2 linked regions of the Caenorhabditis elegans genome follow. The protein of the gene in region 1 interacts with the protein of each later gene in a pairwise test. Each region holds a gene or a part of one and is shown in the gene's direction. Other genes may lie near its edges.

Region 1 (5,207 bases):
ATAAAACAATAAAAATTTTGAATACACCACCTTTAATTCTTGAATTTTGCACAAAAAAAGCAGCGTCGCACAGAAATAGAGGCGGAGCGCGCTCTAATGATTAATCAGCTTTGAGGAGAGCGTGATTGAGCTCATTTTGAGTCCGAACCGTTAGTCCTCCTTTAAAGAGAGAGAGAGTACTGTAGTTTTCGCTACGAGATATTTTGCGCGTCAAATATGCTGCGCAATACGCATTCTCAGAATTTTGTGATCCCGAAATATTCTGTGTTCTATCAGAAAACTACCTCTGAATCTCTTTTCTCTTCTCCTCACGACGCTTCTCCTCTTCGGCCCGCTTTTCACGATCACGTTCTCGTTGACGCTCCTTCTCACGTTCTTTTTCTTTTTGCCTGGAATTTTTGAAATTTTCAATTTTTAATTATTTCTTATTCCTTCGCTCGGCACTTACAGTTCTTTCTCATGCTCTTCCTTCTCTTTTCTTCGTTTCTCTTCATGCTCCTTTGCTGCTGCTGTTGCTTCCAGCTCTTTTCTCTTATCCTCCTCCTTTTTACTAGTCTCTCCTTGCTTGTTCGAAGCGTTTTGTAGGCGATCGAACAGATCAAAAAGCCAGTCGACGAATTTCGCAGTGCTTTTTCCGATAAATAAGTTGAGATCGTCCTTCATCTGCACTTTTTCCTTCTTATTCGCAATCATTACCATAATATAATCGGGTAATTCATCGTCCACGTAGACGCCGAGCTCTTCAAGTTTGGCTCGAATCGCGGCCTGAATTAAAAAATTATTAATTTTTGCGATTTTTGAAATTTATTAACTTATTTAACGTTACCTTTAGTTTTTTCGACACTTCTGAGGTTCCTGTCCCTGTTTGAGTATTCATTTCGAACAGATTATATCTGAAAACCAAAAAAAAATCAATAAGCTAAATATCACAATTTTTGTTCCAATTTTTAAGATAATAATGTCATAGTAAGCTTTAAAAACTGATTTCAAAGTTATATTGGCTCAAGAAACTTCCGGAAGTTCACTAAAAATCACTAAAACCACAAATAATCTGGTTTTTCGAAAATATTCAAATAACGGGATAAAAACCGACACTTTGAATAAATCAGCGGCAATTTTTGTGTGAAAATTGACAGAAAATCAATAATTTAAAATAATTCAATAAATTAATTAGAAAAATTCAGGGAAAACGAATCGGAATTATACGAAAATCACGTGTATCCCTTTCTCTCTCACAATGCCAGCAGCGACAATTATTTGTCGTAAGATTCGGTGTAAAGTATGCACACACTGTGACGACAAAATGCAGATTTTTGCATAAAAGGTTTTTGTGTTTTTTAATCGATTTGCAGAGGATTTCTCAGGTTTTCTGTGTTAAAATTGAAGATTTTAAGGGTTTTTTGTCGAAAAATGCCTATTTTGTTCAATTAATCATTATAAATAACTAGAAATTAAGAAAATCGCTGGAATTTATGATTTTTCTTTATTTTTACGGACGCTTCATTTTTTTTTAAGTTTTAATCGATTTTCAGAGGATTTCAGGGTTTTTTGCCGGAAAAATGTGTATTTGGTTTATTTAATCACCAAAAATAACTGAAAATAGATTGAAATTTATGATTTCTTGTTTTTATCGATTTTCAGAGAGTTTCTTAGGTTTTCGAGCTTAAAATTTCAGATTTTCGGATTTTTTTTGCCGAAAAAATGCATATTTTGTTCATTTAATCACCAAAAACAACTAGAAATTGAGAGAATTTAATGAAATTTAATATTTAGATTTTTTTTCATTTTCAATCGATTTTTGAAGCACTTTCACAGTTTTACCAGCAATTTCCATCCTTGAAATAATTTTTTTCCAAATATTTCTAGACTGATTTCGTGGAAAACTATCGATTTTCTGTGGCTGCGTGCATTTCTGTCTGCGTCTCCCCTCGTTTTTCCTCCTCAAATCCGTTCTTGTCCACGAATTTCCGGTTTTTTTTTCCAGCTAGAGACATGCGACATTCGTCGTACGAACATGTTCCAAATCGGATAATTCCTCCGCATATTCCAATGTGAGCCGTTTTTTTTTCAAATTTTTTCCAACTTCTCGGTGTCGCAGCGGTTAGAACTTAATTATTATTTTTTTTATCACTTTTAAATAAATATTGTGGTCTTTGATTGGGCGTTTATTCATTGATTAGTACATTTATGGTCAGTGGGGCACAAATAAAAGTTAAATTTTGTGCCCCACTGACCATAAATGTACTTAAATCAACGAATAAACGCCTAATCAAAGACCACAATATTTATTAAAAAGTGATAAAAAAATAATAATTAAGTTCTAACCGCTGCAACACCGAGAAGTTGGAAAAAATTTGAGATTTTAGCTAAAAATTGGCCATTTTTTCCAAAATTTTCGAGCGGTCATAACTTTTTTTTTGAAATATTTTCAGAACGTCTCATTACGAAATTCGGTAGTTTTGGACCATTTTGGGTCTAAAAAGCAAAGTCTCAAATTTCGGTACCTCACCTCTGAGGATGAAAAAATCCGGATTTTCCGGGAAAAAAAAATAAAACTCATTTTTTTATATTTTTTCAGTGATGCTAGACGTGGCGATTTCGATAGACGTCCTGGCCCGCCGGTTCCTTCTATGAGAGCTGCAATTCTTGGAGGAAGTGATCCGTATCACGGATTTCAGCCGGTGGTGGACACCTATAATGGACCCGTAGTGGATAATTCGAGAAGACGTGGTTTCGATAAGGGGCCGTTTGGAGAGGATTTGACGACGATGGGAAGAAATGAAGGGAGACAGCCGTTGCTCAGACATGTAAGGAGCGCGATTTTGAGTCGAAAAGTTCAAAAAATCCAACTTAAAAACTCAATTTTCGCTGAAATTCCCTCCAAAACTCCCCGACCAATCAGCGATTCGCTCCGCCCATCTTTGAACCAATCAGATGGAGTGGGCGGAGTTCGAAGTCGGGGAATCCTCATTTTGAGAATTGACTTCAAAACGAGAATTCCCCGACCAATCAACGACTTCGAACTCCGCCCACTCAATCTGATTGGTTGAAGGATGGGCGGAGCGAATCGCTGATTGGTTGCGATGTGGTTTTTCTGGTTTTTAGACTTTTTTTTCGGATTTTGATGAAAATTCACGAATTAAATAGTTTCAGCCGAGACTAGACTTTGAGCACATTGGCGGAGAAATGGAAATCGCGAGAAGTCGGTCTGCATCTCCAGAAATTCAAGTTATCAGTGGTACGTTTTTAGACTGGACCCAAAATGGCCCGAAACTGCCGAAAATTTCTCAAAAAAGTGATGGCGATTCAAAAATTCGGAAAAGTAATAATAATTGTTTATTTGCCACAAGAAATAGCTACACCGGAAGACAAAGAAAAAAAGTAAAATAAAAAAGATGTGTGGACAGATAAATAAAATGACCAATTGGACCAGCTATAGCCCGGGAGGTCAAGTTGGGGGGAAGAGGGTGTCAAATGGGATAGAGCCTAGGCGCGACGCAAATGCATTTGGAGTTAACAGTTTAGGGAAACGTTTTGCTATTCGGTTCCACAACGACAAGTTAACATGTAGAAAACATTTAGACGGGACGCCACAGACAACAAGTAGATAGGGGTGACGAGTAGAGCGTGAAGCTCGAACGAACGATGATAAGGACGGGAAGTGATACTCGCTTGAAATAATTTTATGGAAGGTTCGGAGGATTTGAAGAACCCGTCTATGGTGGGTAGACAATAAATTAAATTGGGAAAGCCTGCTACTGTATGACGCGTACGATAAATTACACCTTTGAAAGACACACTTTGAGAAGCAATGGACGGACAAGACGATAATAAAGCCCGGTGGCCGTTTACCTATGCGTTAGCAACGGGAGCAGCCGAATCAACAGAGATAGGAAGTGGACGCGGTGACGAGAGAGTCACAATCTTAAGGTCGCGCACATAATAACGAATCTCGCCAGCTTGGGTATTTCTGTTATAAGCGTCAGCTCTCAACTCTCTCAGGATAGATAACATCGTTGGTCATATCGCGTCTGCAGCGGATGGGTCTTGGAAGGTTAGTGGGGCGATCAGGCAACGAACGGAGAGTTTTGGAGAAAGAGAAAATGAACGAATTGCGGTCGGCTTCAGAAGAGAAACGAATTTTTGTTGGGCGGGATAAGACTGGTTTGCGAGTTTTGACGCGGAAAGTTTGAATATGTACAGGGAGGGAGGGATTAGCGGCAATTAAATTATCGAGAAAAACCTTATCCTTGGCGGATTGTGAATCCGAGCCATCATCCGGTAGATTTTCAATCACGGCGAAATGAGTCTTCTTCTCAAACAGGGAAATGCTGGCTGCTGCTTCACGTCTTTCTGCAATGATCTCTGCTTTCTTCTCGGCTGATTGTCCCTTGAGAACATCGGCGAACAGGCGTGGAGCGGGCAAATTGGAGGTAACACGGGCAGAGCATTCGTTCGTGAGCTTGGCAACAACTACCTTGAGCTGCTCGACGGTTTGGAAGAGTTCCGATTGTTTGCTCTCCAGGGCACGACATCTGCTTTCAGCGGCGGTACGGAAGGTTCTCAAGCTCGAATTTTCCTTTTCCAATTCTTCAACACGGGTAGTGAGCAATTCAAGAGCGGTCGGGCGACCGCGCTTCCGGGTTTGCTGTTGTTTCTCCGGCGGAGAACTCGTACCGTGAGCGTCCTCCGGGAGATAAGGACCAGAGAAAGCGAAGAAATCCGTCTTCACCATAGGCACTGGGGCGGAATGAGGAGGAGGTGGTTCCGACATGACCAATGACCTGCAGCAGTTGACCGGCGTACCTCAAACTCAAACTTGGGTAATTAAACCAAATATTTTTTGCAGATGCTAAAACAATTTCCAAGTCAAAAAATTATGTATTCAGTCGGCAAGCAGCGGTGAAAGTGGTCAATGTAAAATGATGGATTACGGGAATACAAAACCTAAACTTTTTCTGAAACATTATACATATGCTGTTTAGATGCTGAAACTACCTGATTTTCATAACGAGACCGCTGAAAAAGTTTTGAGGTTTCCACAATTCAACTTTTTTGGTGAAAAAGTCGAGATTTTCGCACAAAAAGTTGAATTTTGAAAACCTCAAAACTTTTTCAGCGGTCTCGTTATGAAAATCAGGTAATTTCAGCATCTAAGCATCATATGTATCATGTTTCAGAAAAAGTTTAGGTTTTGTATTCCCGTA
Region 2 (5,053 bases), on another chromosome or scaffold:
GTCGTTTGGTGTCAGGCTGTTGCGAAATCAGTTGAGAACTCTGCGTCTCTTCACCCGCATTTTTTTAGATCTACGTAGATCAAGCCGAAGTGAGACACTCTAACACCACGTGCGGTCACAGCTTGAAGGTACCGTGAGCAACTGGAAAAACATTGCACTATACCCCTCTTATTGCTTGGCCTAAAAAATTACATATCAAACTCCTCCTCCTCCTGGGAGGACACCTATTTCTCTGCGTCTCTCACCGTCTTTTGACTTGCAGCATTATTCATTTCCTGCCCGTGATTATTTCCATTTCCTCTTCTTTTCCGTGTCTCCATTTTTTGGAATATTATCTATTTTCATTCGATTTCCAACGTTTCCAAAAAGTTAGGTTTTGCTACTTGCTGAATTCATTTCAGCTGAATATTGCTGAATATTCAGCTGAATATTAAATTTGGTAATTTTCCCGAAAATAGGCTGTAACCTATAGAAGTAACTTTAATAGGATTCCAAACTCTCTTTGATAATGGAAGAATGACCGGAAAACCCTCGTTTAGCTGTTGATTTAAAATTCTAAAGATTTAAGAGTTTTTGGACGATTTTTTTCAAAATTAAAATTGCCGATTTATGTTTGTTCATGTTAAAAGTTATAGATAGATTTAAAAAAAACTCTTTTTTGGCTACAGTAACTTCTTCAATCAGAACTTGTGGCAACAAGCCTTCCAAGTAGGCAAGAAAATTCCTGCCTACTTCATGCCTACATGCCTACTGTCAAGCTATAAAAAACATGGTACAAACTGTAGGCAGGCGTGGTGTGGCTACGTAGGTATGAGAATGTGTCTATCGTAGAGGAACCGATCAATTAGCCTAGTGTGATATAAGATTAGTATTTCAAAAAAAATGTATTGGATTTCTTTATTTTTTTGTATTTATGGTGTTTTTGCCATTTTAGTGCTCGGTAACTTGTAACGAGCGCAATAAAAAATTACATTATCAGGTTCAGGCCTAAGGTCATCTGTCGTAAATCATGACAACAGAGCAAACGACCAGTTGTCTATTTCTCTATTCTCTCTCTTTTCTCTCTCTTTTATTCGATTTGAAAGTTGCTTTTTTTTTTGGTTTTTTTTTCGTTTTTTCGTAGAAAGTTTGGCACTTCTTAACGCCTCAAAAATTAATATTTAGATCAGATAATAATCTTTCATAACTGGACAGGTGTCTGAGGTATTACGAAAATTTGAAAAAAAAAACATTCTACGCGACCTATTTTTTTTTCTAATTTATAGGTTGTTCTATGGTAGACAGGCAAGTTCTGATGCCTACACCATGCCTGAATGTAGGTCTACGTGCCTACCTCACGCCTACCGGTACGCCTACCTGCCTGCCTACTCACCTTACGCAAAAAAGAAAAATACAAAAATATCCCATACCTCACGCCTGCTTGCATACGTGGTTACACTTTTGCCTGATTTCCGGTGTTTCTTTTAGTTTACCAGTAGGCATGTAGGCAGGCATTTTGTGGAAGGTTTCGGGTTCAAAAATTGTGTTGTTTTTTATTTCTAAAAATTTGTTTTTCTCGCCGGTAACCTGTTTCTCACACTTTGATCTTTTTTTTTTGTTTTTTTTTGTTTTTTCTTTGCACACAGTCAGAATGTCTTATTTCGGTTTGATCTTCAAAAAATGCGGGAGGTGAGACGCAGACGTCTCATCTGATTTCGCATGGATGAGAACGTGCTGACGTCACAACTTTTCTGGAAAAATATTCCCACATTTTTTGTAGATGAAACTGTAACGAGACAGTCTGACACCACTTGCTTGAATCTCTCGTCCCCCCGTCATTCTAACGCTATTTTTTCAAATTTTTTGTAATATCTCAGCATAATGTCCTCCTGCCGAGTACTCATCCTGCACCATGATCAAGAAAATGACGTCTTTGGCTGTTTTAAAAGGGAGAGCCACGAGTTCTTTTGGGCTCGCATCGAAGGGCAGCAACAATTGGAGTAAGTTGAACACACCTTTATGAGTGGAGATAGAAGAATGGCCGTGAAAAAACTCTAACACGGCCATGTGTCGATTTACGCAGCGAGTGTTCTCCTCGAGGAGAAGGTTTTACAGATTTTGAGTGGAAATTGTCGAGTTTGAATTTTTTTTAAATTAAACACTTTTTAAAATTATTAATTTATTTCGTAAACGTAGGCAAGTTGTTGCCCACTTCTGGGAAAAATTTAAATTTTAATTATTTTAGGTTGTTAAACGCGCTCTATTGATGAACCGTTGTGTACTCCATTTTTTCGCGTTTTTCTTACACTTTAAATTGAAAAAAAAAGATAAATAAAATATTAATCAGCAATTTAAATCTGAAATTTAAAACAATTTATCGGAAATGATCTACAATCAAGAATTTTACTGCAAAAATTAACAGTTCTCCACGAGGAGTACACATACAGCGTAAATCGACACATGGCCGTGCACTTTTATCATTTTTCAGGCCCCGGCCAGGTTTTTTCCTGACCTTCATCGAAAATGAGGTGATGACAGAAGATGGGGTAATGAAAATTGATGCCAGCACCTCAACCATCAAAGAACCTGAACCGGCAGATTGTGTAATCCTACCCACTCATACAAATGAACAGGTCGTATATTACAAGAGCTGGATAGCTTTCGGTGACAATCCGAACTATCTCACCTATAACAGAGATCTGGGGTACGCGGATTGGTATGGAATCGTTGATTGTTCGGATTCTCCACCTACCGGACCAGGAGTTTATAAAGCGTTCATTTATGTGTACGTTTTCAGGGGTTATCATCCAAAAAGTCGATCATTAATTGCAGAAATGACCTAAACTACCAAGAAAGCGGAAATCCACTTTTCAAAGTGACCGGGCGACTCAAATTTTTGGCAAACAAAGACACATCTGACACCATGATGAAACTGGAAATTTTCGAGCAAAACAGACTTGAAGAATTAAGGTAATTTTGATAGACTTTCGTGAATTTATCTGAATTCTAGACCTGAAAATGTTAATAAAAATTTCATGTGGGCTACAGTAGTTGTCCGTGACTTTGCGTCACAGTGTTTGCACACGATGATTTGTTTTTGTTTTTTTTGCCTTTTCAGATTGTTCTCATCTTGAAAGATGTTTTTTTAATATTTTAAACGCATTTTTCAAATGAGAAATCTGATTTTTCAACAAAAAATGCTGTATATTACTGATTTTACCATCCTAAACTCGTCAAATTTGATGAAAAATCGAGTATTTTCAAAAAAATTTGGTTTTGAAGGCGTTTTTCGGCGCAAAAAGCGGAATATTTCGTATTTAGAGTTAAAATATTTATATTTTTCTTTTTTTCGAGACGCAGACGACCACAGCCTTGAATTTTCCACGCGCATCCCCTTCACACACACACATAAACTTCAGTTTTTCTCGCGAAAAGTGCCTCAAGATTCGCTTTAAAATATGGAAATTAACAGGTTATCACCGAAAAAGATGAGCGATTCACAAGTGATCGCAATTATTCTATTTGACAACGAGGAGACAAATTCTGCGATCTGTTATTCTGAACAATTGGAATCTTCAATAAAAGTTCATCTTCCAGTCGGCTCTCCGTAAGATTTTATGTATTTCTAATCGAAAAATCGTGTTTTAAATCATTTTTTACAGTAAAAAACTGGAAAACTCGAATATCCGGGGTTTTTTGGCGAAATTTTGCCAAAATTGCCAATTTTGAAGCATTTTTCTGTGAAGTTTGCGTTTTTTATATGACGTTTTCACAGAGAAAATGGTTTTGAATTTAAATATTCTGCTATCTCTTAATTTTCCCTAAAAAATCAAGTTTTTTCATGAGAAATCGGGAAAATTTGAGTCTCAAGGGAAAAATCTCGGAAAAAGAGCGTTTTAAATTGAAAACGAGCAATTTTTACTGAAAAATCGGGATTTTCAGTTAAAAATTACAATTTCGAGCAAAATTACTCAGTTTCCGCCGATTTTTCCGGGGTTTTTTCTTTTTTACCACTTAAAAAGTGGTTTTGAGCTGTTCGTGAGCTTTCTCCAATTTTAAAGCATTTTTCTGTGAAATTTGCGCTTTTTAAGACTTTTTCACAGAAAAATAGGTTTTAAATTCAAATATTCGGCTATTTCTAAATTTTCCGTCAAAAAAATCAAGTTTTTAGGTGAGAAATTGCTGAAAACGGGATTTTTTTGTAAAAGATCTCAGAAAAAATGTTTTAAATTGGAAAAGAGCAATTTTTCGAGCGTATTTCAGAAAAATCGGAATTTTTCGTTTATTTAGTCCAGGAAATCCAATTTTTGCGTTATTTGATGTAAAAAATAGCATTTTCGAGCAAAATTATCAAATTTCCCATGATTTTTCTCGAATTTTCACACGAAAACCTCGAATTTTAGGTTTTTACCACTCAAAATACCGTTTTGAACTGTTCCTCAGTTTTAATTTCCAAATTTTCAGAGCAAAAGCCGGTCAACTCATACTTTTCACCGAGTACAACTACGAAAATGATACATATTTCCCTGATCCCCGGCCGGATGCTATAGAATACAGAGAATGTGAGATGACGAGAATTGAAAATGGCGAATTATTGGTTAGCTTTCTTCTTTTTTTTCGATATTCAGCAATATAAAATGGTATATTTTCAGATCTCTGCAAAAGCGGCATGTTCATCGATTGAAACTCACATTACTTATCCTCAGAGTGTTGCATTTGCTGATACATTTGGAAAAGTTAATGTTGCAGCAGAATCGATGGAACGAGGTGTCACGTATAGAGTGGAGTTGGCAATGTGTGTATTTTTATCGAAATTGGTGGAGCGAAATCTCCTGAAAAAACGGCTAAATTTGGCTGAAAATCACCCTCACAAAAAAACTTAAATTCGCATTCTTACTCGAAATAGGGATAAATTCTAATTAAAATCTAGAATTTTGCCAACTTTTTCTAAATTGTAGCTATCGAAAATTAATTTTCACCCAATTTCTCCACTGTTTGGCACAAAAAACTTGAAAAATTCTATTAAAGTTTCAGTACCGAAATCTGAGAAATATATTTTTAAATTACTTCAAAT

Evidence for each region.
Region 2: the proteins of Y61A9LA.3 (region 1) and rsd-2 interact in a two-hybrid assay, tested with the Caenorhabditis elegans proteins (one study listed by BioGRID).

The regions. Positions count from the first base shown.
Region 1 is NC_003283.11:4,569,151-4,574,357, forward strand, and holds the start of Y61A9LA.3 (C2H2-type domain-containing protein), read left to right. Parts: upstream 1-1,984; 5' UTR 1,985-1,992; coding exon 1,993-2,051; intron 2,052-2,578; coding exon 2,579-2,807; intron 2,808-3,147; coding exon 3,148-3,238; intron 3,239-3,982; coding exon of another isoform or gene 3,983-4,774; intron 4,775-5,207. Other genes in the region: sut-2 (Zinc finger CCCH domain-containing protein 14), read right to left, coding at 285-389, 449-765, 827-877; hpo-39 (uncharacterized protein), read right to left, coding at 3,983-4,774.
Region 2 is NC_003282.8:13,537,073-13,542,125, reverse strand, and holds the start of rsd-2 (RSD-2 domain-containing protein), read left to right. Parts: upstream 1-1,860; coding exon 1,861-1,979; intron 1,980-2,467; coding exon 2,468-2,764; intron 2,765-2,811; coding exon 2,812-2,949; intron 2,950-3,451; coding exon 3,452-3,586; intron 3,587-4,443; coding exon 4,444-4,576; intron 4,577-4,631; coding exon 4,632-4,774; intron 4,775-5,053.